3 linked regions of the Oryzias latipes genome follow. The protein of the gene in region 3 binds, or shares a complex with, the protein of the main gene of each other region. Links are inferred from orthologs where the notes say so. Each region holds a gene or a part of one and is shown on either strand. Other genes may lie near its edges. The genes, in order: mad1l1, mad2l1bp and mad2l1.

Evidence for each region.
Region 1: the proteins of mad2l1 (region 3) and mad1l1 are in contact, whole or in part, in a crystal structure (PDB 1GO4), measured with the Homo sapiens proteins. The link is inferred for Oryzias latipes from reciprocal best matches to the Homo sapiens genes MAD2L1 and MAD1L1. Residues at the interface, in NP_002349.1 of Homo sapiens: Tyr38, Leu61, Tyr64, Asn67, Val68, Trp75, Gln82, Lys83, Ser89, Ile91, Glu92, Ser93, Gly94, Arg99, Gln101, Ser150, Phe151, Asp152, Leu153, Leu154, Ile155, Tyr156, Thr157, Asp158, Lys159, Asp160, Leu161, Val163, Lys166, Trp167; in NP_001013858.1 of Homo sapiens: Glu527, Arg528, Ala530, Leu531, Gln532, Gly533, Asp534, Tyr535, Gln537, Ser538, Arg539, Thr540, Lys541, Val542, Leu543, His544, Met545, Ser546, Leu547, Asn548, Pro549, Thr550, Ala553, Arg554, Leu557.
Region 2: the proteins of mad2l1 (region 3) and mad2l1bp are in contact, whole or in part, in a crystal structure (PDB 2QYF), measured with the Homo sapiens proteins. The link is inferred for Oryzias latipes from reciprocal best matches to the Homo sapiens genes MAD2L1 and MAD2L1BP. Residues at the interface, in NP_002349.1 of Homo sapiens: Tyr33, Arg45, Thr52, Leu54, Lys122, Asp126, Glu127, Arg129, Ser130, Arg133, Gln134, Thr136, Ala137, Thr138, Thr140, Phe141, Leu142, Leu144, Glu179, Val181, Arg182, Leu183, Arg184, Tyr199, Asp205; in NP_055443.1 of Homo sapiens: Pro61, His79, Tyr82, Gln83, Gln85, Pro88, Leu89, Pro90, Gln93, His96, Ala185, Leu187, Arg188, Phe191, Arg192, Phe195, Asp198, Ala199, Phe200, Ser201, Glu202, Leu203, Gln204, Ala205.

What each region holds. Positions count from the first base shown.
Region 1 is NC_019859.2:22,952,587-22,962,542, forward strand, and holds the start of mad1l1 (mitotic spindle assembly checkpoint protein MAD1), read left to right. Parts: upstream 1-4,213; 5' UTR 4,214-4,340; intron 4,341-5,109; 5' UTR 5,110-5,145; coding exon 5,146-5,289; intron 5,290-5,382; coding exon 5,383-5,523; intron 5,524-5,596; coding exon 5,597-5,776; intron 5,777-5,859; coding exon 5,860-5,984; intron 5,985-6,060; coding exon 6,061-6,142; intron 6,143-6,344; coding exon 6,345-6,475; intron 6,476-7,479; coding exon 7,480-7,594; intron 7,595-9,603; coding exon 9,604-9,665; intron 9,666-9,956. UniProt on the Homo sapiens protein: Component of the spindle-assembly checkpoint that prevents the onset of anaphase until all chromosomes are properly aligned at the metaphase plate.
Region 2 is NC_019873.2:27,030,045-27,039,739, forward strand, and holds mad2l1bp (MAD2L1-binding protein), read right to left. Parts: upstream 4,284-9,695; 5' UTR 4,236-4,283; coding exon 3,935-4,235; intron 3,716-3,934; coding exon 3,444-3,715; intron 3,377-3,443; coding exon 2,855-3,376; 3' UTR 2,425-2,854; downstream 1-2,424. Other genes in the region: epoxide hydrolase 1, read left to right, coding at 1-194, 269-398, 537-748, 835-943, 1,996-2,121, 2,209-2,410; uncharacterized protein LOC101165914, read left to right, coding at 4,750-4,829, 5,032-5,095, 5,183-5,293, 5,407-5,523, 6,373-6,470, 8,003-8,118, 8,190-8,332, 8,433-8,601 and 4 more. UniProt on the Homo sapiens protein: May function to silence the spindle checkpoint and allow mitosis to proceed through anaphase by binding MAD2L1 after it has become dissociated from the MAD2L1-CDC20 complex.
Region 3 is NC_019876.2:30,701,352-30,711,425, forward strand, and holds the start of mad2l1 (mitotic spindle assembly checkpoint protein MAD2A), read right to left. Parts: upstream 3,544-10,074; 5' UTR 3,423-3,543; coding exon 3,359-3,422; intron 2,890-3,358; coding exon 2,743-2,889; intron 1,108-2,742; coding exon 987-1,107; intron 134-986; coding exon of another isoform or gene 131-133; coding exon 27-130; intron 1-26. UniProt on the Homo sapiens protein: Component of the spindle-assembly checkpoint that prevents the onset of anaphase until all chromosomes are properly aligned at the metaphase plate.

The sequences.
Region 1 (9,956 bases), on a different chromosome or scaffold from region 3:
AAAAGAAAACAGGAAGCGACACACGAGGACACAAATGTCAGACAGGAACTTGACGAAACATGACAGTACCCCCTCCCTAAGGACCGACACCAGACGGTCCAGGAGCCCCGGACCTGAAGAAGTCCGTCAGGAGGGACCTGTCCTCGATGAAACGCTCCGGAATCCACTGGCGGTCCTCTGGACCATAGCCCAGCCAGTCCACTAGGAACTGCCGACCACGACCCCGTTTCCTGACGGCCAGGATCTTCCGCACCGTGTACACCGGTCCACCCCCCACCATCCTCGGCGGCGGCGGGGGCTCCGAGGGAGGCACCAGAGGACTGTCCACCACCGGCTTCACCTTCACCAACAGACATGAACAGACATGAACAGGAAAGGGAAGAACTTTCAAAAGAAAACAGGAAGCGACACACGAGGACACAAATGTCAGACAGGAACTTGACGAAACATGACAAGAATAGGTGTCTTCTGTTTTTGAGGAAGGTCAATACAGGGTTATAAGAGTCCTTCCAGGTGTCTCCAGCTTCTGCATCAGTTTTTGTGGAACAATTCACTTTAAAACAAACAGAAATTTACCAACCGCAGTTTTACAGGCTCATGTAAGATAAAATCAATAAGATGACATTTGCAGTGGATACATTCTTCTCTGCACTGGTGTGATTTAAAGATTGACTGGACAGCTGTTCCATTTGAGAATGACTATGTGGCTCTTTCTGTCAATGCTACTGGACCAGAGCAACAATGAAGTTCTATCAAAAGTACTTGTAGCAAGATGCATCATCACTCCATGTTTGACATTTTAATGCTGATATGGTAATAACACAAATTAGGTGCAACAAAATACTTTTTCAGAAACCCCTTTTTATGACTTTTATGTTTTAATATTGACATGCTTTGAACAGACACAAGATCTGTGCTTAACTGGTGAACTTTAACAAGTGTGTCTGAATCTGGGTCTTTCTGTGTACTAAATGTCATCATACAAAGATCCCTCTACTTATCTTGTTCAGTCTGGTGAAGATGCAGAGAAAAACAACAGAAAGGGACGAGAGGGTGCCAGTGACACATACAAAGAGACAGCATGGAGAAAGCTTTAATAGCCATGAATGCGAGAGACGGTAAGTACGATCGAAAAAAAAACACAAGACACAGAGGAAGTTAGCTGAATACTATTGGGATGAAAGCATATAGAAGGAATTGTAACATATAGAAAAAGGCAGCTATTATATTACATAATAGGACAAAATGCTCTCTCTTTGACTTTTTCAGACAGATTCCCACCCTTTCAGAGGATCTCTTCAAAACTCAAAAAAGCCTTAATAAAGCCACCTCTTTGTCTCCCCCTAGCGTTTATTTACACGTCCACAAGCTCTTTGTCTTAGGAGAGAGCATGATCGTTGTAGATTTAAGAGAATTTTTTTTTGTCTGATGGAAAAATTGGGATTTTTCTGTCTGTTTACACATTCTGATCCTGACTCAATGTATGACAACTCATTTGGTATAGAGATTAGCAGTGCAGCTTTACAATAAATAACATTTCCCAATTCATTTTCTTTTTTCTTTTTTTATTAAAGGTGGACAAACTTGTTCCTCAAGGTAACTAAACCATCAGTGCAAACTATCTTTTTGAATTTGAACATATCACTAAATTGATAAACTCTATGAGAATATTAAAAAAAAAATCAGTCAACTGGACTTCTTTCATGCTTTATTTTTTAAGACATTTCACTTCTTCACCAAGAGGCTTTCTCAAATCTGGAGAAGTTTAGAGAGCCTCTTGAAAATTGGATGAAATATCTTCAATAAGATAACAAAGTCCAGCTGACTGTCCAGATTTATTTTTCCTACCATTGCTTTGATGGAATCCAACTGGATGAATCTAGAAAGACTTTTTATCATGAGAAACAAATGTTCATAGTTTTACTTTCCCAACTTTCCTTTTGAAAAATACAGGTCCAAATCTACAAAATGTTCAAAACAGTTCCCATGTGCTTCTCGTAAAACCTTGTGCTATCCTAGGCACTTTACCATTGGGAGTGGGGTCATCTAGACCCACTAGACAGTGCTCTGAACCTTTTTTCTTCAATGATTTGTGATCTTCACTGGTGTCCATGGATTGCATGAAATCTTTCCACCTTTATCCACCTTTGTCATGGTAGGAATAACATGTCAATGTAAGGGTGAGGTCATCTAAGATAGCACAAGGGTTAAAAATCATGTGTAGATGTTGGGTCAGAGAAATTACTGTATTGTGCTTTTTCTTTTAACCGATATTTTTAAATTTCAGCTTTTATCTTCGCCCTCCAATTTCTGACTTTTTTTTATAACTTGTGAGCATGATTTCTTTTGAGACTGGACCATCTACTATCTATCTTTACACACCTTGAAGTAACTGCTAAGAGATAAAAGGCTGACATTTCCTTCTCTTTGCAACTGACCAACTTTAAAAGAAAACACTTTGCCTTAGCATGTAAACAAATAATATAAATTAGAATAAGCCACTTAAATAAATACATCAGAGGGACGGCTCATGTTGCCTGTGTTAGCGACAAAGTCAGAGAAGCCAGACTGAGATGGTTTGGACATGTTCAGAGGAGGGATAGTGGATATATTGGTAGAAGGATGTTGGAGATGGAGCTGCCTGGCAGGAGGGCAAGAGGATGGCCAAAGAGGAGATATATGGATGTCTTAACAGAGGACATGAAGTTGGCTAATGTTAGGGTAGAAGATGTTCATGATAGAGTGAGGTGGAAAACGATGATTCGCTGTGGCGACCACTGATGGGAAAAGCCGAAAGAGAAAGAAAGAATAAGCCACTAAAATCTTACCATTAGCCCAAAGAGACATATTATGTTCTTGGAATGAGTGGCCATTCATCTGCAATTTTTGAACTTCATTAAAGTTCAAAAATGTGGAAAGAGTGAAACTCTGCTGCTCTCTGCAGGAAAATCTAGGTACCTAGATATTTAGGAATCATGGTCTAACATGTGATGGTAAACATGTTAGAAAATAACAAATCACTAATACGAAATAAGAATTGGAAGAAACAAAAAAAAAATAGAAAAAAGGCACAAAAGAAACAACTCAAGGAGAAATGTATTAATGCCGGATAAAAAAATCAAACAAGTACGGGAGAGGTTTTAAAAATATGCTCATCAAGAAGTTTTTAGTGCGGCCAAAACTGCAAACCAGAGGTTTTCAAAAGACCTGAGGGCAGAACATGAAAAGTCGCAGACGGCAGCTGGATCCCAAAGCTCAAGAATCTTGAACAGAGACATTCCTGGAGGAAGAGGTTGAACATTTGAAGGAAGCTCACAAAAACCTCAGCTCCAAATCCGATGCCCAGATTTCAGCTATACCCAAAAGTAAGTGGAAATCCTATACCAAGAGCTCGAAAATCAAAGATCTCCTGCACAAGAACTTCAGTTCAAGCAGCAGATCATCAACAGCCTTAAAGAGGAGCAGGACGTTTCCCTCCACGCTGTATCCAAAGAGATCCTCCCCATGCGCGACCATTGCAGAGAGCTGTGTTTTCAGGCAGAGCTGAAAAATCAGAAGTTATTGTAAACAATTAAATTTATTAAAGTTAATTTAAATTAAACAAATTAAAAGTGTTTTAGTTCTAATTAGCAGACAGTAAAACAAAGTATGTGTGCAGCAACTTGTGCGATTGTTATTTTTAATGAGAACACCTTGCACTAAATCAAGGCATTTTCACTCTTAAAAAACTATGTGCAAAAATGCTTCCATATTTATGTCTTATGGTATATTTAATTGAAGAAGTACAGTGTTTTAGGTTCTTCATGTGTCAAAAAACATTATTTCTGCCCCCTCTGCTTCTGAAAAAAGAAATGTGTACCTTATTTGCCATGAAAAAATAACTGGAAACTGCTTCAGAAATGATTGATTACTAAGAGATGTCTCCTATAAACCTCTGCATAGAATTTATGATTGTTTTAATGGCAAGATATATTAAAGCAACTGATCCCTACTGTTTTTTCTGTAAAGAACACCCAAAAAGTATTTTTATTATTATTATTAATAATAATGATTGTTATTATTATTTTTATTAATGTAACGTACTAGGTTATTTATCATACAGTCAATACGTATGATATATGCCATCTCCTGTAACTGCGTTGATTTTGCAATTGAATAATAAAGTTAAATGGGGAAAAAAAGGTTACTTCCTGTTGGTATTATCGCGATACTACAGGCTCTCATTCGAGTACTGGAGGGATTTCTCGTTTACTTGCTGAGCAGCTGCTAGCACATTAGCAACATAACAAGAACTTATCAGTTCCCGACAGACATTTTATCGTAAATAAGCTAGTTCTGGGGTAAGTTGTTTAGTTTTTACCCGAAACTTTACAGAACCTTTTGGTACGATAAGCGAGCTAGGATCTCTTTAACCTTTGGACGTTTCCGTGTAGGTGTTTGTCTCATCATCATCATGCTACTTTAATTATCGTAACTGAAAAAACAGACAAACAAACAAAAAACTTTGAATTTTTTGATCTCGAATGTATTTTTAACATGTTTTTTTTAATATGCATTATGTTATTGTTCTCGTCGTTGAACTTGGTATGTGTTTCAATTTTAATTTATGTAAATTAAACTTTTTGTTTAAGCTTTTTATCAGTAAGTCTGGTGATTAATTGACATGTTGTTACTTTTTTGTGAATTATTTTAAGTCTTCCTGTGACAGCTGACGACTTGATCGCGTTTTTATTTATTTTTTAGTTAGATATTTGGCAAAATGGTTATAGTGTTTTGGCAACTTTTTTAAAAAGTTTTTATTAATAGATCTGCGTAATTGCAGAACAACTCCCTGGCAATACATGTCTTTAACACTCTTGGATCAAAACTGACAAACATAAGATGTATCAACTAGTTATAGCCACTTTTTAACTAACATCATGTACTACCTTAATTTGTAAATGTTTAAAGCAGTCGATTTCTTCTTTTTTATATTTTAGGATTGTTTTTCTTTTGAGTTTTTGTATAGTCTATCCATTAATCCTTTAGTACTTATGAGCAAGAACATGATCTATATGTCACATGGTGCTATAATGTGATATTTTGATGTTCTTGCTTGTGTCCTCCCAGCTCTTGTGTCTTTACTACAACACCAGTAAACCCAAAATGGACTTGGAAGATGACACAACCATTTTGAGCACCTTAAAATCTTTCAACACTTTCATCAGTCGTCCTGAGCGTCCACAGCTGCCGTCTGAGCGCTCAGCAGGCAGTGGAGTTCTTCAGAGTCAGTACAAACGCAGCATGGAGGTACAGATAAATCATTTGCTGTGAAAGCAAAATTCAGGAATTAACGACAACCATTCCATCTGACTATTTGCTTTCCCTCTGGCGCATTACTAGATTTTGGAAGCAGCAGAGAGGGTTCACTCTCAGAATCGCTTTCTGCAGTTGGACCAGGAGAAGAAACAGATGGAACTGAGCCACAAGAGAGCTCGTTTTGAGCTGGAGAAAGCGGCTTCCAACAGTGCACGAGACTTTGAGGTATAGTGCATATTCAGCCTTTTCACAGCCATATACAAATAGCATTTGATTATTTTGTGTTGTTATTTTGCAGCATGAGTTGGACAGAAACCAGGATCTTTTGGCCAGAGTTAAAAAGTTGGAAGGGAGGGAATTTGAAGCGGATAAAAACTTATCAGACCAGGTTGAGGAGAACCAAGTTCTCCGTAGGAATCTAGAGGCCGTGAACAAAAAGCTGGAGGAGCGAGACACCAAGCTGAATACGGCTAACAAGGTTCCCGCACAGACGCACACCTATCTGTCTCTTCAGGAATGTCTGTCATCTTACATTCAGTCCTTCTTGCAATCTGTTTCCAGACCATAACTTCTTTGAAAGATGAGCTCAGAGAGTTGAGGCAGAAAATTCAAAACCAAGACTTGGTGTTCTCAGCCCAAACCTTGGAAAAACAGGAGCTACAGGAACAGCTGGATCTGCAGCGCAGGTAAATCCCAACATTTATGATGGTTTTCTTCTTTTTGTTAGATTAATAAGATGTGTTATTGTGTTTTTTTTTTCAGGAAATATCAGGAAATCTCACAACTATGTCAAACTCTCCAAGCTGCCCAGTCTTTATGCTCAGAGCACATTATAAAAATAAAGGTAGCAATCACTTAAAAAATTTGTCGTAAAGATTAATATTACATTTTTCAAGTCTGGAGATGCAATAAATGCTGTTTGTTATTTTAAATCGTATCATTTGAATGAATCTAAATCAGTTTATGATGAAATGAAAGTACTGCATGCTTTGGTAGAAGGTTAAAGGAGCTTTTCTTTTTGGATTTCCCTCCGTCTGATCTTACAGGAGCTGGAGAGGCGTCTTATTCTGCAGGAACAAGACATGGCAATCGTGAAGACTATCAAGTCGGAGGCGGCGAAAGTTACAGATCTGGAAAAAGAGTTGAAGCGCCTTCGAGAAGAAAATTCTTTTCTGAGGTGGAAAAATTTATACGCTTATGATTTGTAGATGTTTAATTCATCATTTCTTTATTTTATTTTATTGTGCTCTTTTTTCTTTTCTTTTTTTGCAGATATAGCAATGTTTTATGAAAAAAAAATTAACAAAATAGACATGAGCCTGGATTACTAATGAATAATAATGAAGACAACCTCTCAACAAACAATAATTCCCCTGGGTTTTTTGGTTTGGGATTATTTCTCAGCAGGACAAAAAGATTCAGCTTTTATTTTAAGCTTGGATATCGCAGCTAAAATAACCAGTTTCTACAATGAATGCCATTCTCCTGTGGAAGTGTCAACACAATGTTTCAGTGTGAAAATGGCTGCAACAGTCACAGAAGCTAATGACAATGCTGACTGTCAATTGCCATGATAACTGATGTGAGAAAATCTAGTTTTCATTGACTGGATTTTAATAATCAGTTTTAGTTTTTTTTTTGTTTTTGTTAATATTTTCATCTAACTTTATTTTATCAGAAAATTCCACCAAATACCATTATGAAGGGAGAACAACAATCTGCTGATTTACCGCTATCATGTCTTTGTGTTTGCATGTTGCTGGGCAGATTACAGATGCTTTTCCGAATTCACTTATTTGTGGATTCTGTCAACATAGTTTCATTAATAAGTATTTTTAAAATATGTTTTTAATATTGCTAATTCACCCAAAAATATTTAAGTTAGATGTGTAAATAGAATAACATAACAAACTGGATTTTCAGCTGTTTGAATTTCTCTCTTTTAACTTCAAACTTGATTCCTTTCTGAAGATTTTTAATTATGTTAACATTTTGGTTTACTGTGGAAAACACTGCTAAGTTGCTGTGGAAGAAAAGGAGCAAAAATGTTATCCATTTATCAAATCAGTTTGATCTATAAAAAAGTTTTTTCATTCTTGAAATATCCAGTAACAGATTGATGATTGCTGAACCCTAAGCTTAGAGTGACTGTGTGGTTCTGCTGTGTTTCTATTTTGTCAGAGAGAGCAGAGAGAATTACAACCTGTTGAAAGAAGAAGCAGAAGGACTTCGTAAAAAACTGGAAAGGATGGAGAAAACCAAAGAAGAGCTCGTCAATGTGGAACTTGAAAAACAGGTGTGATATAACAACACAAATAGTGCCGATAAGGACACAACTATGCAACACAACATGCACAGTTTAGCTCAAACACAAAGTTTTGCCACCGCAAATCAAAAGTAAGTGATGGAGATAAATCCAGTATATCGGAGAAAGTTTATATTATGCTTTTGTAGTTTGGGCTTTTGATTGTTTTCATTTCCCTTAATGTTAATTGTACCTTTTGTTTTTAGCAGGTTTTCTAATAGCGAACATTTTTTATCATATTTTTATTTTTGTCTGCACAAGAAAAGGATAGAGCCGCATTCCAAACACAAACTCAGAACCCAAATGAAACGAGGAGCAACATTTTTTTGTGTGCATCAGTGGATGCAGACGACCTGCAGACACTTTCAAACCCTTTGAGTTTGTCACAAAAGCAGGAAGCCTCCATAAACCACATGAAGCTGTTGGTACTTCGGTGATCCTTCTTCTGGGTTTTGGTTCTTTAGAGCTCTACAGTTTAACTAAAAAGAAGAAAATTAAGTTATAATGAAAAGGTAAATAATAGGAACAACATCTGCTACATCACACAAATATGTGACACATGTCACACATTGCCGGCTCCGCCCCTGTTACGAAAGGCTTCCTGCACATTGAAGGCTACGCGCCGTCACATGATGCTACCTCCACCTCTGTCACAAAATGCTCGCTCTGCCGCTGTCATAGGTCGATAGCTCTGCCTCCCTCACAAAAGGCTGGCTCCGCCTCCCACACAAATAGTTGGCTCCACCTTCGTCAAAACGTGCAGGCTCCGCCCCATCGCAAATAGAAAAACTCTGCCTTTGTCACTATTAGTTGGCTCCGCCCACACCACAAAAATGCTGGCTACGTTACGCTTTGCTTGCTATGCCCCTGTCACAAAAGGTTTGCTCCGCCTTCACACATTAAATGCTCCGCCCCATCACAAAATTCTGGCTCCGCCTCAGTCACAAACAGATGGCTCCGCCCTATCAGACAAAGCAGGCATGGGGGACACTGTGGTCACACAGAGGCAGGTGTGTGATTACATCTAGAAAAGGTTGAGGGGTTAAATTTAGCCTTAACCAGGGCACTAAAACGGTTACTGGTAAGCTTAGCAGCAGCCAGAACCAGATATGGAGTTCATTTGGACTTAGAAAGGCAGAAGCCCAACCTCCTAAGAGGAAGGGAATGGAGGAGCCAAAGCTAAAATGAGGATGCCTGCAAGAGGTGTCTGAGGGTCTGGTCAGGGATGCAGACAGGCAGGTGGAGGAGGCTGAGGAAAAGGCAGGAAGCAAGGAGACTAACCTAATATCAAGGGTCCAACCCTCTGAGGAAGGTCAAAAGGAGAAGTTGGCAGAATCGGCTTAGTTGATGAAGATATTCCAACCAAGACTGCAGGGCTAAGAAGTTGACTTTGTGAATGGTGTTTATTTGTTACTTTTTAACTTATTGTTTATTTAATTCTTGGAGTGGTACAAAAATCATTTCACTGCTGCAAATGTGGATTGATTCTTATTTCACATTCAGAAGTACTGTAGTTTGGTTTGGTTAAGAAATTATTGCTCTAAAATTTCATTCTTCTTGCTGGGAAATAGGCTGAGAAATTGGTCTTAGATTTTAACTTGAGGAAACATGTAAGAACCCTGATCATAGACTTATTTTTCATAAACATGAAATGTTTTTTTGGATTTTAGCATCTGTGGTATTTTTACTGTAACAATCTTTTGTTACATGGCTCTTCAATGTATTTTGGTCTACGAAAAGCCTGGGCTAAAAAAATAATTACAAGTATTTAGTACTCCTTTAATGATAAGATTAAAACAAGGAAATCCTTTTTTGGATGACAATAACAAAACAAGAAAGAGACAATAAAGGTTATGAGCTGTAAAAAAATGTTGTAAAGATCTTTTTTGTTGTTGTTGCTGTGTTTTAATAATTCTTTTTTTATTTATTAGGCCTAATTCTCATTAAATCCTAAATTCAACAGTAACTAGGCTTAATTATTATTCTGTTTTCCCTTTCAGAGGTTGGTTGAAAAGCTCCAAGCTTGGGAGAACCTTGGGCAATCAACTGGACTCAACATAAGGTCAGTCACTGCCTGAAACCAAACCTTTTTTTTTATGTCAAATGAAATGCACAGTATGACCACCAGATGGCACTGCGATCTTTCTGATTCATGGGGGTAAAAATAGATAAAGAGCACTTTCTCTCTTTAGTCAGTTTGTAATGTCACCCAGGTACCAAAATTCAACATTTCAACAGGCACAGAGCTCACACATGCTGGATATGAGGAGGATTGGAGCTTTGGATTGGAACAGGACAGCCACTGAATTTAACACGCAGTAGAGGATTGAGTCTTGTTTCAATGGTGACACTT
Region 2 (9,695 bases), on a different chromosome or scaffold from region 3:
CCTTCGCGTGCGCCCGTCACACGCCAGCGGCCAGAGGGTTCTTCCTCTGATGCTCGTTCACGGCTGGCCAGGCTCCTTCTACGAGTTCTACGGGATTCTCCCACTTCTCACTAAGAACCAGGACGGCGTTGCATTCGAGGTCATCATCCCGTCCATCCCGGGCTACGGCTTTTCCGAAGCCTCTCACAAACAAGGTGGGTGGCGCCTCATCGATCCCAGGCTTTCCCGCTCACGCTGAAGTCATGGACAAAGTCTTTCTCCTCGGCAGGGTTGGACAGCCTGGCCGTTGCCAGGATTTTCCTGAAGCTGATGGAGCGTTTGGGGTTCTCGCAGTTCTATGTGCAAGGAGGGGACTGGGGCTCCCTCATCACGACCAACATGGCACAGATGAAGCCTGAGTGAGTCCTGAACAGCAGCCTGTGGGAACCACAATGTCTGCTCTGTGAGAACAGATTCCCAAAGACGGTCAAAACTCTCGTAGCTGAACAAAGTGCTGTGAAAGAAAGTGAAAGGGTCTGGCATTTGATCTTCTGCAGGTGTGTGAAGGGTCTCCATCTCAACATGTGCATGTCCACGAGGGGCTTCAAGATAATGCTGTCTCTGATGATCGGCCCCTATCTGCCCTTCCTGGTGGGCCTCACTCGGGAGGACGTCCGACGGCTGTTCCCGTTCTTTAAGAAGAACGTTTGGGAAATCCTGAAGGAATCTGGCTACATGCACATTCAGGCCACCAAACCCGACACCGCAGGTGAGAGGCCACGCCCGGAGACCGGGGACAGAGTGCTGGTCACGCTTGTCCTCCGAGATCCCCTCTCAAAACGATTTCATCCTCAGGCTGTGGGGTCAACGACTCTCCTGTCGGGCTGGCGGCCTACATTTTGGAGAAGTTCTCCACCTGGACCGATTACAAAAACAGAGATCTGGCCGACGGGGGACTGGAGAGGTAAAAAAAAAAAATGCTTCCGTTTCTATGGCAACCTCTCCCCATGTTTCACACATACGCCACCTGATTTAACGTTTTATTGACCTTTGACCTCAGGAAGGGGCCACCATCTTGAAATCACCTGACCCCCCCCCCCCCCCCCCCCCAAAAAAAAAAGTCAACAAGAAATCTAAACTCCTGAGGGATTTCTATCCATCACCTCATCAAGCATCGTTGGGAAGCTACTTGTAAATTAATGTTGGATTTTTAGAAGTTTTACATTTTGAATGGGGTTAGTGTGGCCAACTTGCAAAATTGGCGTTCCCGTTGCTTGCACATTTTTTTACTGGAACGTTGTGAAGTTTTAAAATGTGAATCCTCAAGCTGAACAGAGCAATGGCTGTGTCCACATTGGAGGGCTGCGTTCTTTGTGGGCGGCTTACGTCACAGCGACAAGCGCTGTCCGAATTCAGCGACTCCTTCAAATGCAGCCGAGTACGTCCTTCTCTTTCACGATTTTAAGGATTGGTCTGGTGTGTCCTTCTACACTGCATATATCCCAAGATGCATTGCGGCCCAACTTGGACCTGTCCTGACAACAATGGCGGACCGTGAAGCGGGACCCAGAGTTGGAGATAATTACACCTTTTTAATAATTACACCTCCAAGATTAAAAGTTGGATCAAATAAGCAGGGAATTTTTTTAAACTCCATGCCTCCTCTCTTCTCCTCTCCTGTGCGGGACTCACGGTTGCTAGGCGACAGGACATACGACACGAACATATTAGGAAAGTGGGTGGGGTTAACAAAAAACCTGTTAAGGAAATCAAAAAAAGATTGCTTTTTGCAGATTCTTCCAACAATGACAGACAACCAGAATTTCAAGTGGTTGCCATGGAGATAAAACCAATAGAAAAGCTGCAGTTAATTTCTTTTTTTTAATGAATTTGTCGTGTGCTTCTCTAACCAGTGTGGCAAGGGGAGAATTGGGGGGCGGGTTGCAGTAGCTCAGGCTTCACGTGTAAAGGCTCATTTACTGGGGTTAATTTTTCAGTGAACATCCTTTTTTACAGGAAGTACAGCTTGGATGACCTTCTGACCAACGTCATGATCTACTGGACCACCGGCTCAATCGTTTCCTCCATGCGCTTCTACAAGGAGAACTTCAAGAGCGACCCCAACAGCAGAATCGATGGCCTGTATGCAAACACACACACACAAACTTTTACTCTCCAATCCTGACATTCTTTTTCAAAGCTGTTGATCCTCGTTATTCTGTGTTGTAGAACCGGGATTTTCGTGCCCACCGGTGTGGCGGCGTTTCCCAACGAGCTGATGCACTGTCCCAAATCCTGGGCTCAGATCAGATATCGGAACATCCAGTCCTACACGCTCATGCCGAGCGGCGGTCACTTTGCCGCCTTCGAAGAGCCCCAGCTGCTCGCTAAAGACATCATCCAGTTTGTGAAGAAAGTGGAGAAGCTGTAAATGCAGAGCAGGAGTCATGATGCTTTTGGTTTTAATTGTAATTCATCATTCTTCACACAAATATGCTTTAATCTTCTCTGCACCTGGTTCGCTCTCCTTGATGCTAGTTAAAAATCATTTTCAGTGAATAACGGATGTTAACTGTGTCCCGAGATATGAATAACAAAAGCAACGACTTTTGTCAAACCGTTCAAGTCTTGTTCATTAAAATGTATTGCACAAGCGGCGATGTCTGGTGTTTTCTGGAAATACCTGCATATTCTGTTCCCCACACAAAGACAAAACATTCTTTTGTATGCCAAAGGTAAAAATAATAATCAACACACATGCACATGAATGTCATGATCTTAATGCGAAAAAAAACAACCATTTTACTAAAATAAACATCCACTCGTTTATATTCCACACAGACACACATTCTGATGATCCAAATCCCTTTTAGTGTTAGTTGCTGAAGCCCTTAATAGTCACAGGTGCCTGGAACCAAACATAATCCTGCCAGTCGGCCTTTTCCCTCTGCTTCTCACAGACGTTGGGATCTGTGGCCAAAGCGATGATCTGGTTTTTGACCCGGGTGGGAATCTTGAATTGTAATTTGGGGCGAAACCAGTCCACGCCGCAATCCCTGTGAGCCAGGGCTAAAACGGTGGTGGGCATCAAGCGAACGGGTCTGGAGTCGGACAGGAGGTCGGCGACGAAGAGCGTGCGGAAGAGGAGCCTCAGGCAGGAGGACGCTCGCAGACCCTGCTCCCCGCCGACCAGCAGCAGGTCCTCCATGTTGATCTCGTAGAGCTCCTTCGGCAGGACGAGGGAACCGCCCATCATCAGTAAGACGCGCGGGACTCTGCTGAGGGAGAACAGCACTTCCAGCTGGTGGAGCACCTCCTCCAGCTCCTGAAGGGTCTGCTGACACTTGTAATCCACGTCTGCGGAGTGGACCTTCCTTGGTCTCACCACATCTTTATCCTGAAAAGAAACACCACAATTTGAATTTTCTATAAGAGCCACCGACGGCTGGAAATGTGCTTCTCACCTCCACGTCTCGCTGCTGCTGCCGCTTCTGGGAGAACACGAGCTGCTCGTACGTCATGGGGAGCTGCTGCCGCTGGTAGAGAACGCATTTGAGGATCTCGCTGACAAAACGGTAGCTGCCATCTTGGGTCACGGGGCCGGGGAAGATCACGCTCACGCAGCCTTCTTCCTTTGCTCTCCTCACCACCTCAGCATCCCTGTCCTGCGTGTTTGAGTGGCGTTCACTGGCAGACTCCTGACAGGAAGTGGCCTCCTCCTCTTCCTGTTGCTCTTCTGTAAACAGTCCATATCTGTTGCCAACATCACAGTAACCTGGTAGACATATTAACTAATTGACATATAGATTTATGTAAAGAAATCGATGGCTAAAATATAAAGGTTTATTTTAAAGCCAAATTATGCTAATTATTTAGCAGGAAGACCACATAACAGTCAGAATGAGATAAACGTGTTTCCTTTTAAAATTCTTCTAAACTCTTTCGACATTGTTACCTTGATGAATTTCTGTGTTTTCTTTGTCCTCTTCGCGCTGTTCAGAAGAGACATCGGTTCCGTTTGGGACCGTCGCTGACAGCTTCTCGTCAGTCGGTTGAGGAGAGTTTGAATCGTCAGAAAGACATTGTAAACTCAGGTCTAAGTACGTTAAACTCGGTTCTTCTCGTGAACTAATTTCTTTTTCGGAGGGAAAAGACAGTCGCCGCTTCACCCTGCTGTCTTCGCTGTTTGCGGCGGATTGATTTTCGGAGACTTCGGGATCTAGAGTCGTTTTTAGCACCAAACAAGGTTCCGCCATGTTTTTTTGAAAGTCGGCGCCTGCTCGGCTCTACCCAACTGCACCATGGGAAATGGTTGAAGTGGTGCGTTCAAATTTTTCGGAAAAAAATAGTTTAAAATGTTTTCTGTCTTGTTTACAAACGAATAATATAAATAATAATCATCATAGGATTTTGTATTGTATGTTTGACTGGCATACTGTAAGACATTAACTCTAACATGTAAACACATCATACTTTGACCACCAAAACAAAACTACAGAAAAATCATACCATTCAGAACAATATTTTATAAACTAAAGTACCACATATTTTATAACATTTCTTTTGCTAATGACAGATTTTTAAGTCGGGAAATCACACTGCAAATGCCACACTAAACAATGCTCAGTGCACCCCCTAGTGCCTGATTTGTGTAGTGCATCCAGTAAAAGTAGCCTTTCTTCCTCAGGTGTGATAATTAGTCGACGTTCACGTGGAAGAAGATTAATTCATTACCTTGAAGAAAACAGAAAGACAAGGGTGACGACCTGAATGTTTCATTCCTTTGAGTGGTTTTATTTTATCATGTCTTCCGTGCGCGTGGCTGTTCGAGTCCGCCCTTTGAATAAAAGGTAGATTTAAGTTTGCTTAAAAATTGGCACTACTTCTTCTTGCTCATGATGATTATTTGTTTTTTAACATTTTGTTTTTGAATATATATTTTTTGAGCTCTTCTAATGATAACTTTGTCAAAAAAAAGCTTTTTAACCCAACTGTGGTTGTTGTTGATGTTCTTAAAAATGTTTAGTTGATTGTTTTTGGCTTTTTACACAGGGAACAGCAATTATCATCCAAGAAAACGGTTCACATTAGGGGGAACACAATATCCATTCAGAAGGTATGGAATCACAAAATGATGCGAGAACAGTCTGTAGAAGTGAACAAGGTCAACAATGATCTGAGTTTTTGTCTGTTTTTATGTTAGTCTTCACCTGTGCGAGGGGAAAAGGTGAAAGACAGAGAGAAAACATTCTCATTTGACTTTGCTTTTGACTCCATGGACACAGAAAGCTCCACGTTTGCATCCCAGCAGAAGGTACATGTTTATTCTATATGATGGAAGATCTTCTGATCTTTATTTTAATTTTATTTTTTACCAAAGTTTGTGCTTGCAGCATATTTGTTCTTGATGCATTTTGTTTTGCTCAGATTTTCCAGGAATTGGGTTGTGGTGTGTTGAAAGCTGCATTTGAAGGGTTCAACGCCTGCATGTTTGCTTATGGGCAAACAGGCTCAGGGAAATCCCACACTATGATGGGTCTGAAAGTGAGTTTTTCCAGTATTTTCAGTACTTTGTGGCCTGCCCTGTGCAATGTGTTCATGTTTAAATATATATGGTATTAAGCAATAATAAGATGAATGTATATAATTTGAGAACATCAAGTTTTAAATTAAATAATTTAGTTTTTACTTAAAAAAACTAATGAATATTAACAGTTAGTGGGCTTCTTCCTCATGCTTCTTACATCTACTTAATTTCTTGTTCATCCTTTATATTTTTAAAGGGTTTCCCTTTTTATACGTGTTTTTTTGATCCATTATTAGTCAGGGCCTTTTGATGATGTCTGCAGGAAAATGCCATGAGTGTGAGGGCAGTAACCGCTACGAGCACCACAGCGTTTCAGATTTCTGCAGCTTTGCAGAACATCACAGAACCTTTTTAGGCGATGCAGCTTCAATAGACTGGCTTGTCTCTTTTTTACTAATCAGAAAATTTGACGTGCCCACTGAAGCATTTCGCCCTTCACCTTATTCTTCGATGGAAAGTTTTAAAATGTGGGAAGAAGTTTCTGCTTGTCTTTCTGGAAACGTATACAAGGTCATGAGCGGAGCTGCTGTTCAAGCTTCTGGATAATTCTATATGACTCTAAATGCTGACTGTCTTTTGATTTGTGATTTAAAGAAGGCAGCCGGCTCACACTGGAAAATTGCTTTCACGCTTAAGTAACTCCACTTCAGATCAGCCCATTTGTTAATCAGCAGCATTTGCTTGTGTTTCTATAGCAACACTGAAAAAAACCCAAAATATTAACCACTAGTAGACATTTTTTTTAAAGATATTGCTTTCCATAGTGTTGTGAACATTTATCTAATCACTTTTTTTGTCAAATTTAGGATGATAAAGGTTTGATCCCTCGGATCTGTGAAGGTTTGTTTATGGAGATGTCCGAAAGAAGCAAAACTGATGCCGTTTCGTTTCATACGGAAGTCAGGTAAGTTTTAAACAAAAGCAAAACCTTTTTTAGACAAATATAGAAGTACAGTTGTTTACTAAATCAACAAACCCCTAAAAGATGCATTTAGCTTAATACTTTTATTGAATGTCGGTATTTTATCACCTTGGGTGCCTTTTTTGTTTCTGGTTCCCGTTTGAAGTCTTTGCATTTTTAGTTACAGTCTCAAATAATTGGCGCTGACATCATCGCCCCGCCTCCCTCCTGGAAATGCTGACTGGAATTTAATTATGCGACACTTTTTGCACTGTGGATGTGAAAACGAGAAATTCAATCTCCTCTTTGCATTTTTCACTTTAAAATGAGCGATGTTGAAGTAGAAAATTAAAATGCATTTTGGAGGATTGATTTTTAACTTTATTTTTGAGTCATTTGAGGTAATTTGATGCAGTCACATTGTGAAAATAAAAAAGCATTTCTGTTTTTGCCGATTTTAATGGTCAAATTAGATATTTCTAATGAATTTTGCTGCACATTTACCAGAAAACCTTTTGAAAATAGCAAAAACCATTTTCTTCATCATTTTATTTAAGTGACAGAGTGAGCGGTGTTGAAAGAAAAAGAAAGCGGTTTGGCAGATTGACTTTTCACTTTATATGTGAGTCAACAAATGCAGCTTCATTTTGAAAATGAAAAAGCATTTCTGGTAGTGACCTCTATTTTTAATTATGCTACAGAAACGCTTCCATAATTGGGAACTTAATGAGACGTTTTTTTTTATTTTAAACTTAGTCGGTTTTCATGGATCACGGAGGATGGAACCACTTTGGTCTAACAGAGCTCACTTAAATTATTTATCGTTATCGAGATATCAAACTGTGCAAAATGCATATCGCAAAAGTCGCTGAAAATGACGATAAATGATTACGTTAAATGTGCTAAAACAATCTTATGGCATCAAATATATTCTTTATGCATTTGTCTAATCAGATGGAGATCTTTTATGATAGATGGTCGCCTCCTATCTAGACTAAAGGGTTATTTGGAGTATAATTTAAGTAATTTAAGACTCTCCTTTACATTAAACTGTTGCAGTGAAATGGAAATGATGTTTTTAGTTGTTTTGCTGTTTGTTCATGTAACGCAAGTTATATGGTCATCGAAATATTGATCACAAATATCGTAAATTGCGAATTTTCATATATTGTGGAGCCCCTAAATGTAATTAAAGATTATGTACAAATTCATTTAATCTCATACATTCATCAGCCCCCCTCCTTTTTTAATGTTTTAAACAAAAACAAAAAACAATTAAAATAAAAAAACTTTAAAAATAGCAAATCTTAAAAATAAACCTCAGAATTTATTCTTTTCTTGTTGCTCTCGACAACAACAATCTTTATCTGACAAACTCCTATTCACTTTTAGTACAATAGATGCAATTAAATTGTTTAATGAAAGATTCTCAAAACAATAGTTTTTGACTTGAATATAAAATTAAAAAACGGGGTAAAATCATAAATGTTTGGATTTTTTTTCCCTCCTCTTTGTCAGACTTTTTGTTTCCACAGCTATCTGGAGATCTACAACGAGCGAGTTCAGGATCTTCTCAAGAAGAAACCCTCACCGACCACTGCTGTGGGTTTGAAAGTGAGGGAACATCCCCAAAATGGACCCTATGTTGAAAGTAAAGCAGGAAATCTATATTATTTTGGTATTTAAGATCTGGAAAGAAGTGTAACGGCAAACTGTGTGCAGATCTATCCAAACACGTGGTTCACAGCCACGGTGACGTGGAGGGTCTGATCCTTCTGGGCGACGCCAACCGCACCGTCGCCAGCACGGGCATGAACGATGTGAGCAGCCGCTCGCACGCCATCTTCACCATCACCTTCACTCAGGTGAAGCGCAGAGAGGAAAACATATTCAGTCTTAATGGAAATCCTTAAAGTTTGGCATAATCAGTTTTATAAAATGTTTTTTTATCATTAAATCTTGCAGGCGTGGTTTGATGCTGACTTTCCACGCGAGTTAATAAGTCGGATCCACCTGGTGGACCTGGCGGGCAGCGAGAGGGCAGATTCGACGCACAGCACAGGCATCAGGCTGAAGGAAGGAGCAAACATCAACAAGTCCCTGGTTACTTTGGGAAGTGTGATCTCAGCGCTCGGTAAAAACCGTCTCAGTCCTCCTCCTCCCGATTAAGTCCCTGTCCGAGGGATCCACTAAAGATTTAATTTGTCATTTTTAGCCACCAAAAACCACCCCAAAACAAAACGGGTGTCATTTCCAGGACAGTTTCTGCAGAGTGGCAGCATTTCATTAGAAATTTGCTTTGATTTGTGGGCGGGACCATTGAGGTGGAGCAACCCCACCCCAATGGTTGAGGAACTAAAGATACAACTAAACTACTATTTAAGGAAGAATTTTTCCTATTTATTTAATTTTTTGTTTATTTTTTTGCTTTACATCGACCGGTCCATGGGACAGTTGACATACAATCTTTTTTCCGTTTTATTTAGAATGTGATTCTGAAGGATGTTTTATTTAGGGAAAACTAAACTTTGAAAGAATGCTGACAAATGAGGGCTCTAGAAAGGAAAAATAGTTTTTTCAGATGTTTGCAACACTGTCTGAACTAATGTATGGTTTTTATTCTGTTTTGTAACCTTTAGCTGACCAAAGCTTGAGTGAAAAGGCGACCAAACGGAGGAAGATCTTCATCCCCTACAGGGACTCGGTGCTGACCTGGCTGCTGAAGGACAGTCTTGGTGGAAACTCCATAACCACCATGATAGCGGGTATGAAGACCTCCTAAGCTGCCTTCAGGTGTTTTGTTAGTAGTTTCCTTTGCATTGTAAACTCTTGTGGCAGCAATTTCCCCCGCTGAGGTGAACTACGAGGAGACGCTGAGCACTCTGCGGTACGCCAGCCGAGCTAAAAGCATCGTGAACACGCCCACCGTCAACGAAGACGGCAGCGTGAAGGTGATCAGAGAGCTGCAGGCAGAAGTGGAAAGGCTCCAGACTCTACTGGCAGAAGCCACCCAGGTCCTTTCAGTTAGGGATGCCTGAAATATCACGCGTTCAGACAGAATTAAAAACCGATAATCTGTTTTTTAAGGATGCTCATCAGGGGTCGTGTGTGCTGGTAGAAGAGAATCTGCATCAGAAAGAAGCAAAGGTGACTGAAACTGGAAAGTTTTTTTTTATTTTCCTCTATTTTCTTTCTTAAAAACTCAAATTTGATTTTGTTTCTTAGGTT
Region 3 (10,074 bases):
GTCACAGATGGATTATGGGAACTCACACTGCGTCTCCAGCAGAGGCAGGAAGGTGACGGTGGCCGTGATCTGTCTGATGACGGAGCGGATCTCATCCTGAATGGTCTTGATGGACTTCTCTCTGGGAGCACTGCTTTGAAAGGATCAGAGTCAGAGGTCAGCACACAGAAACAAAGGCTGGACTGCCCCCCTACCCCTCTGGCTCCAGCTGAAGGGGCATTTTGGAGCTGTAGTGGTGTCCCACAGTGATTCAAAGGAGGAGCCGTGGTGGATTGCTGGTAGGACGATCCGCGTCACGCTGTGGCGTTGAGGAGAAACGCATTTCCTCACGTGGGTGTGCGCTGAAGCACAGACGTTTACATTTAAATGTAAGTCATGACTTTGTTTATGCGTGACTTTTTAAATAAAACCCATGATGTGTATTTTCTGAGCGCTAACGCAGCAGACCGACTACTATTCATGACGTTGTGGAGCGGTTGTAACGTCCGGATTTGAAGACACTTTTCTCCATAAACTCAGTCATTGTAGCTATTTGGACGGCAGAGCAGCAGCCTGAAATAAAAACCACAGAAACGTTTGCTCCCTCAGAATGAGAACCTGATTTGGAGTACATGCCGAGTCCCAACCCCACAGAAAACCTTTTTTAAGGTTTAAACCGAATCCCAATTCCTCCCAGCTCCTGCCCATCCCCCCTCCAGCAGTTATGGAAACATTTGAACATTACCAGTCCTGGATGGCGTCATCAATAGCTGCATATCTTCTACGTTAGCATTTAGCTGCCAGCGCTAGAGAAACACACAACATGGGTTTTCTAGCCTTGACCTACATTTAAATGTAAACTCTGCTTCAGAACACGCCTATGTGAAGAAATGCGCTTCTCGTCCACGCCACAGCGCGCCGCGGATCACGCTAGCGGTGGTGGGATAGCCAGCCCCTGGAGAAGCTCCTTTCCTCTTGAGACATTTGGAACTGGAGAGCGGGCTCACCTGCTCTCTTTGGCCGACTTGTCACACTCGATGTCAAACTGCCATCGCTCCAGCACCTCGTTGGTCTCCAGGCAGGTGATGACCAGCACCAGCTTCTGCACGCTGCACTCAAACAGCCATTCTGAAACCCAAACCCGCGTTACACGCCTGCTTTAAGGCCTAACACGCAGACCAGGTAAGTCCAGGCTCAGAGATTTGCAGATCACCGTCCCGTTTTACCTGGACCAGGTGTGTCCATCTGGAAAACAAGCCTGTTCTAACATGACACAAGAAAAACCTATTCCTGCTGTTTCAACACCACCAACACACGAACCGAGCTACACAAACGTCTTCAGGATGCTAATTTTCTGCTGATTCTTGATAGATAGCTTGTGGTGTCCCACAAGGATCAATTCTGGGCCCGCTGCTATTCAGTATTTACATAAATGATATATTCAATGTCTCACAACTATTAAAACTCATTATTTGCTGATGACAGATCTATTCTATTCCATTCTACAAACAATCATAGGGAACTTAATGTGGTGAACATAGAGTTAACCCTTGTGCTGTCTTAGATGACCCCACCCTTACATGGATGTGTTATTCCTACCATGACAAAGGTGGATAAAGGTGGAAAGATGTCATGGAATCCATGGACACCAGTGAAGATCACAAATCATTGAAGAAAAAAGGTTCAGAGCACTGTCTAGTGGGTCTAGATGACCCAACTCCCAACGTTAAAGTGCCTAGGATAGAACAAGGGTCACACAAAATAAAATCATGGCTGACGACAAATCCTCCTTTAACCCAGATAAAACTAGTGTGACATATTTTGCTAACTACTACACCAATACCGATGTCTCAATTAAAATAAATGTCTTAATTTAAAGTGTTACAGAATTCAGATTCTCAGGCGTTTTTATCGATGACAAACTAAGTTAAAGCCTCACATCAGACACACACAAAATAAAGTCTCCAAAAGTATTTCCATCATAAGTAAATCTAAACATATTAAAATACGACAGTAGATATTTATTACACTGCTCCTTAATTTTACCATATTTGACCGACTGTGTAGAAATTTGGGGGACTGATTCTAAGAGTTCACTACATCCTCTGTTTACTTCAAAAATGAGCCGTCAGAACTGAACATAAAGCCGGATATCCTGATCATACAAACAATTTGATCAATCCAGACTTCTAAAACTGTATGATCTTGTTGTGTTTTAACTTCTATTCAGAGCCAGTGGGAAATCGTTACCATTCAATACCAAACAACACAAAAGAGTTCTTAGAAAATGAAGGAGGAACAAAGTGAGGGGATGCAGGAACTTCAAGACCAAACTGACAAGAACCACAAAGACAAGTTTGTGTCTCATTCAATCAAGCAAATGTGACTTACGGTTTTAATCTATGCATTTCATCATTTCTGTAATGACTTTGAGAAATCTGTGTAAATTCTTCAATGTTGCGTCTGACCCTAAATTATGATGAACTCTTTGGGCTTTTAGAGGACTTTTGGGCAGGAAAACATCACTATTTAGGCACATCGACACGTGGAAACAACATGAGGTGTCAATCATCCCAACATCCACCTCCATATCCCATAAATCTGTAAAGAGAAACAATATCCCACGCCTCTTGTCTTCAATAAGCCTTTGCTGGACGCTGACAGACAGGAATTGCATCTTGATCATTGCCTCCATGTTAAGAAATAGAAAAATAAAGTCCTAACAGACACGGCCTGCTTTAGGACAAAGAAAGGACAAACTACCTTTGAGTTGAGACACCACGTTGGTCAGGTAGTTGTTCAGCCTGGGCTCCGTGGAGACCTGGAGGCTCATGTCATAGTGAGTGACCCTGGTGAACGTCTCTGGGGGGTAAATGCCCCGCTGGTACAGGATGCTGTTGATGCCGAAGGCTGTGGGGAGGATCACGGGGCTGTTATTAGCGGGGGGGGGGTTGTGACGTTAATTCAGGTCAAAGACTGAGAACACTCTTTTCGTCCACACTACTCTACGTTAGTTACTCAGCCGATGATAAGTAGTTTGTGTCTGTTCAACCCGAAATCTAGCATTCCTACTTTAACTCTGGTGACGCTCGGCTTCTTTACCAGCACACCTGGCGGTGGGCGGTGTTAGAAAGCCGCCATTAACCTACACATCGACCAGAAGCAGCCATTCGATCTTTAAGAAGTTGGCTTCAGAAGGAAGGCTTTTAAAATGCTGCGACGGTTTAGGGCTCTGCCTTCGGTCTGGAGCCGCCGTAAATACACTCGCTGGCTACACACAACAACCGAGCACGCGGGCCCGACCGCCCGCTAGCACACAACAAATGAGGAAGAGCCGTTGAAAAGCCCGGCTAGTACAGAAACAAATGTTGAAACATACAGAAAAACTCGGCCACCAGCTCCGCGCTTCCTTTAAGGGTGATTCCTTTTAAAGTACTCGTCATTTCATGAAATGACAATCAACCGTTGAAAAGAAACGTCGGGCTTCTTGCTGCACTGAAGGCTGAAACTGGTACCCGCCGTCCGATTTGAAAAATCAGTGACAACCTCTACGCATGCGCAAAAAAGACAGACCTCCCCACGTGGTCAACCCTAGACAGGAGAAAATGACTTTTTTCTTTTTTTGAAACTTTATTTATACAACAGTAAACATCACATCGGCAAGTTTACCGTCAGATGGCAAAAATCAATGTTATCTTAAAAAATAAAGAATAAATTATAGTATGTAAATAAAATTAACAGGGACATCGTTAGCAAAAAGGAAAATTTAAAAACAAAAATAAATAAAAATATATTAAAGTATTTCTCAGTAGAGGGAACTATTCATCAAGCAAAAAAGCTCATATTGTTTCAGTGTTATGCCTTGAATGTAATAATCTTTTGAAGATATTAGTAAAATTGATAATCTCTATCAAAAATCCTGTAAAATTGTTTTTTTGGTTTTTTTTACTCAGCACTTATTTAAATAGAAGTAGTAACAAATCAATACTATTTCCTACCAATTGATCCTGCGAGTTAAAATATGTAAGAATGTGTTTGAAATATATAATAATAGTACTGTTCATGCTTATAAATCTTTTCAATTGGATCCAGAATTTAAGGGAGAATTGACAATGGCAGAAAAGGCGAAGAACTGATTTTGGGAAATCATTACAAAAGCTACAGTTATTTCCTATATTTGAGAATTTGAATATGAACATAGTGTGGGGTAAATGTTATGTAGAATTCATTTGTGTATTTCTTTAATTTTGTTATTTATGCCAAATGTTTCTGGCAGTAACTATGCTTTTGTCCAAATGATAGTTAAAATATTATTCCAATAAATTTCTCCTTTAGGTGTTATGCTTCTTTTTTCATATAAAGTAGTAAATATATGTTTGTTGTAGCATTTTTTATTGAAAATATCAATATCATTAATTGTCAATAGAGGGTCTATTTTTAGATGCCTTGTGATATTTAACCCTTGTGCTATCTTATGTCCCCACCCTTGAGTAACCGGCAGGTCGGCCTGTGACAGGTGCATGCCTGCTTGATTGGGGATGTAGTTCAGCTGTTCTGCTTCTTTATAAGGAACAGGGAGTGAGTTGACAGACAGTGGCTGCCTGCCTGCATGGTGGTATGTATGGCTGAAGCTCCTCTTGTCGGAGAATGTAGATCACCGGTTACTCATTTTTATTCTGCTCTTTTAACTAGATTCTGTTAGCGGCTGGACGTGTTGCAGATGTCATGAGCCACTGCGTGTTCTTTACCCACCCTTATTATACATTTTAATGTGTTTTAGAGTGGTGCTGTATTTATTGTGTTGTTGACTCTGATTCCTTTTTATTGTTGCATAGGTGTGAGTCGGGCGCCAGTGCGTGTGGTGTTGGTGAAGGGGCCCCTTGTGGCAGCGTCTTCCTCACTGTATTTATTTCCTTTTTAGTGTGTAGTGGAAGTTTCTTTGGCACGTTTTTCTTGTGTGTGTGTGTGGATTTGTTTTCAGCACGGAGTGGAGTGAGGTGCGCTATGTAATCCATGGACACCAGTGAAGATCACAAATCATTGAAGAAAAAAGGTTCAGAGCACTGTCTAGTGGGTCTAGATGACCCAACTCCCAACGGTAAAGTGCCTAAGATAGCACAAGGGTTACGGGGAGAGGTCATTAGTTGAAATAATCCTGAGGGAAGAGCTTTCATTACAATTTTCAATTCTTTTTGCTTGTTATTGGAAAATATTTTTTAAGAACCTGTCATAACCCAAAAGGGTCTTTTATTTTTTTAAACCAGTGTGGTGAAAAATTATGTAACACAGTGTACTGGGTGGCTGTGGGGTCGCGTTCTAAGTTCCGGTGTTCATTGAACGCATCAAGCAGAAATGCTGATTGGCTCTCAGTTCTGTCGCTCAACCTGTAGTTGGGGAGTTTGGTCCAATAGGGTTCAGCTATGGCCCGAATAAGGAAATGGGGCTGATGCAGGAGCAAGGGAATAAAGTTTGGGGGAGTGCTCTCAGCGGGAGGATACAAGAGTTTCTGGGCAAGTTGTGCAGCATTGGTTACAGCCTACAGTAACCAGAATAAATAACCTTAACCCTTGTGCTATCCTAGGCACTTTAACGTTGGGAGTTGGGTCATCTAGACCCACTAGACAGTGCTCTGAACCTTTGTTCTTCAATGATTTGTGATCTTCACTGGTGTCCATGGATTACATGAAATCTTTCCACCTTTATCCCCCTTTGTCATGGTAGGGAGAACACCTCAATGGAAGGGGGGGGTCATCTAAAATAGCACAAGGGTTAAGAGATTAAGTCTCCGTGCCTCAGTGTGTGGGAAAGGGACGCTACAATTGCATTACCGGGGCAGCTCTTTCGGCCAAGGCGAGCAATTAAGAGTTCTGGCTGTTGACATCGACAGATTAGTTAACCAGATTTATGCTCACATGCCCCCAGCCATTCAGGAAGAGCTAGCCCGGGACCAGACGACCTTCGCGTTCAAACCCAACCAGCGCACCGTAAGTTACTGCAGGAGGCCCTGGAGCTGGCCACAGAGAGAAAAATGCTGTGGAGGCCCTCCTCCAGGGTGGAGCTTGAGGCCCCTCCAAAGGTTAGAGCTGCAAGTGTATCAGAGCCTGACACCAAGGGGCCTGCACGGGCAGAGGAGCTGACCCAGCTAGTAAAAGCTGTGACCCTGAGAAACGAACAGGCATCCAAGGTCCGCCCCCAAAGAGACTGGAGCTGACCCAGGACCTCCTGGGGTTGTGGGAAACCTGGGCACTTGATTCGTGACTGCCCGGACAACCAAGGAAACAGGAACGGGACCGCATAAGCGGGACAATGTGGCCCCCTGAAAAACCATCCCGATTGGACCCACAGAAATGGAATGCTGGCCATGTGGGGGTCAAAGAAGTCCCATCTGAGAGACTAATGACTTTGGGCCGAACCTGGGTTGGTGACTGCTGGTTCACAACTATGAGTGTTGATGCAGCGTCATGCTTAGCTTTAGTGGACACAGGTTCATCTGCAACACTGCCCTGCAGTGGTGAGGAATAATGCAGCCATCCTTCCTAACGCTGTAACATTACAGACTGTTACTGGAGAACGGACTTTCATGCAGGGGGAGGCTGTTGTGACTCTGGAGGTGGGAAACCAGCAAGTGAATTGGCCTGTGTGGATTGCTGACTTGGAAGAATGCTTACCAGGCCTTGATTTTTTTTTGCGGGCCCAAGGTTGTGTTATTGATACCAAGAGAGGAACCCTTACATTTTCTGATGGACATGTTATCCAGATGACCAAATTTCCTCTAGATCGGGGTCCCATGTAGTTCACACCCTGTCCATGACTGACAAAACCAAGTCTGATTCAAGAAAAAAGAAGAGCTCTGTCTGTTATGTATATCCAGATGAGCCACCCAAACCATCTGTGAATAAAACACCTATAGACACAGAAAAGATGGCAGCGGTAAGCACCTGGTCTGTTTCCACCTGACCCTGTTCTGCCCTTTCTACTGGACACGGATGCCAGCAATGTGGGCTGTGGTGCAGTTCTGTCCCAGGTAAGACCTGTGGGGGACAGAGTGGTTGCATACTACAGCTGGACCTTTAACAAAGTTGAGCAAGGCTAGTGCTCCACCCGAATGGAACTCCTCGCTGTGGTCAGTGCCATTAGACACTTCAGATATTACCTGGGGGGTCTTCATTTCACGGTCAGGACTGATCAGGCTGCCCTACAGTGGCTGATGTCTTTTAAGGAGCCGGAGGGCCAGCTGGCGCGCTGGATTGAGGAGCCACAGGCCAAGTCAGGCCAGTGGCACGGCACCAGAACACTGATGCACTGTCACAGCGGCCATGTGTCACAGAGGACTGCCGCTATTGGCCTTTATTTTTTTATTAAGGTCAAAATGTGAAAAAAATCCAGAAAATCACATCGTCCGATCTTTTTAATAATTTATATATTTAGTTTATTTATTATTAATTATTTGTGTAAATTATGGTGGAAAATAAGTCTTTGGTCACTGACAAACAATCAAGATTTCTGTCTCTCAGACCTGTAACTACTTCTGTAGAGGATCCTCTGTCCTCCACTGGTTAACTGTATTAGTTACACCTGTTTAAACTGGTTATCTATAGAAAGGCACCTGTCCACAACCTCACACAGTCACACTTCAAACTCCACTATGGAGACCAAAGAGCTGTCTAAGGACACCAGAAACCAAACCTGTACCAGGCTGGAAGACTGAATCTGCAACAGGTGAGCAGCTTGGTGTGAAGAAATCAATTATTAAGGAATGGAAGACATACAAGACCACTGTGAGTCTCCCTCCATCTGGGGCTCCCCCCAAGATCTCACCCCGTGGGGTCAGAATGATCACAAGAACGGTGATCAAAAATCCCACAACCCCATGGGGGACCTAGTGAATGACCTGCAGAGAGCTGGGACCAAAGGAACAAAGGCTACCATCAGTAACACACTACACCACCAGGGACTCAAACCCTGCAGGGCCAGACGTGTCCCCCTGCTAAAGCCGGTACATGTGCAGGTCCGTCTACAGTCTGCTAGAGAGCATTTGGAGGATCCAGAAGAAGACTGGGAGAATGTCCTATGGTCAGATGAAACCAAAATAGAACTTTTTGGTAGGAACTCTACTGTTTAGAGGAGAAAGAATGCTGACCTGCATCCAAAGAACACCAGACCTACTGTAAAGCATGGGGGTGGAAGCATCATGCTATGGGGCTGTTTTTCAGCAAAGGGACCAGGACGACTGATCTGTGTAAAGGAAAATATGAATGGGGCCATGTATGGTCAGATTTAGAGTGAAAACCTCCTTCCATCAGCATTGAAGATGAAGCATGGCTGGGTCTTTCAGCATGACAACCATCCCAAACACGTTACCCGGATAACAAAGGAGTGGCTTCTAAAAAATTACATAGAGGTTTTTAAAGCTCTAAAACAGGTTTCAGTTATTTTTCAAAGCATCAGGCTTGAAAATTTACAAAATGTGAAATTATCCCTGTTTATTCATGTCATCACCAAACTACTGAAGCCATCAGGATTGTTAATGAAGGAAAATATCTGGGTGCATTATTGTCTAAAAAACACAATAAGGACGGAAGAAGTCAACATTTCAAACTGGTTGCTTGATGTGAAGCAAAGTATAAGTCGCTGACTGACAAGAGCTTTAACTATTTTTGGGAGAAATTTGTTAACCAAAGAGGGAGTCTCTAAGATAATTTCTCCCTGCTATTCTTTGTACACATCCTCTCCAAACTTAACCCTTGTTCTATCCTAGGAACTTTAACATTGGGAGTTGGGTCATTTAGACCCACTAGACAGTGGGTCATCTAGACCCACTAGACAGTGCTCTGAACCTTTTTTCTTCAATGATTTGTGATCTTCACTGGTGTCCATGGATTACATGAAATCTTTCCACCTTTATCCACCTTTGTCATGGTGGGGAGAACACCTCAATGGAAGGGGGGGGGGGGGCATCTAAGATAGCACAAAGGTTAAAGAAGGTTTACTCAATTACTTTTCAGGTCCAGTGGAAAAACAAACCCCCCATATCAAACGTTCCCAACTATTTAAAAGTTATGACAAAGGTGGCATCAATTTGAAGCTACATTTAGAATGACATGGTTAAAAGCTCTTCTGATTGATAATTACTTCCTATGGTTTCATATTCTAAAATCCATCTATCAGCATTTAGAAGGAATACTTTTTTTACAATATGTGATTTTGACGTTTTGAGGAAGCAGAGAAAGAGAACTTTGGGGTGGGGCTGTCCATCACTCAAGCTGAAGTCACTGAGGCAGTCCATGAGCTCCTCGGTAGCAAAGCTCCGGGACTGGACGAAGTCCGCCCTGAGAACTATGGAGTTCTATCCTGTTCATAATTAAATAAATAAATATTTAATTCAATAAATAAATATGACCTCATGCAAATACACAATCAACCAATAAATCTCTCATAAATATATAAAAAAGATCATGAAATGGTGAAAAAGCTGCACACAGATTTAAAATTAGCCATTATATTATTCAACATATTTCATTTTGCGTTAAAAACCTGTTCATTATTTTAAAACAGCATTTTAAAATATTCATTTTTAATCATGTGGAATATTATTATAATTCTACGTCTTTTTTCAGAACCTTGGATTTCAAAATCAATATTTTCCAAAGTAGCTTTGTTTTTATTTCATGTTGCTGTTTTTCACAATGACTGATTTATTTCATGAAGAGCTTTTTCAGGAGAATGTTTCTGTCTGTCAATCAAACCAGATAAGGCGGAGACACTTTTGTGATTGGCTACTCCTTTCCTCAGACATAAGCAGCAGCACAAGTGTGCAGTTTTTGTATGAGGGTCTGTGGGATGATGGTGTTGAAAGCTGATGCACAAATTCCTATTCTCTAGGTGGGTGAGGGTTGTGTGGACCACAGAGGAGATGGCGTCCTCTGTGGATGAGTTTGACCTGTATGTATATCAGTGCAGGTCCTTGGTGACATCAATGGAATCTGTGATGAGGGTCATGGCCAGTTTTTCAAAACATTATATGAGTAGGGGTGTTCCAAAATATCAACGTGGTGATATATCACGATATGTAGTCCCGTGATTGATTCTCTGTGC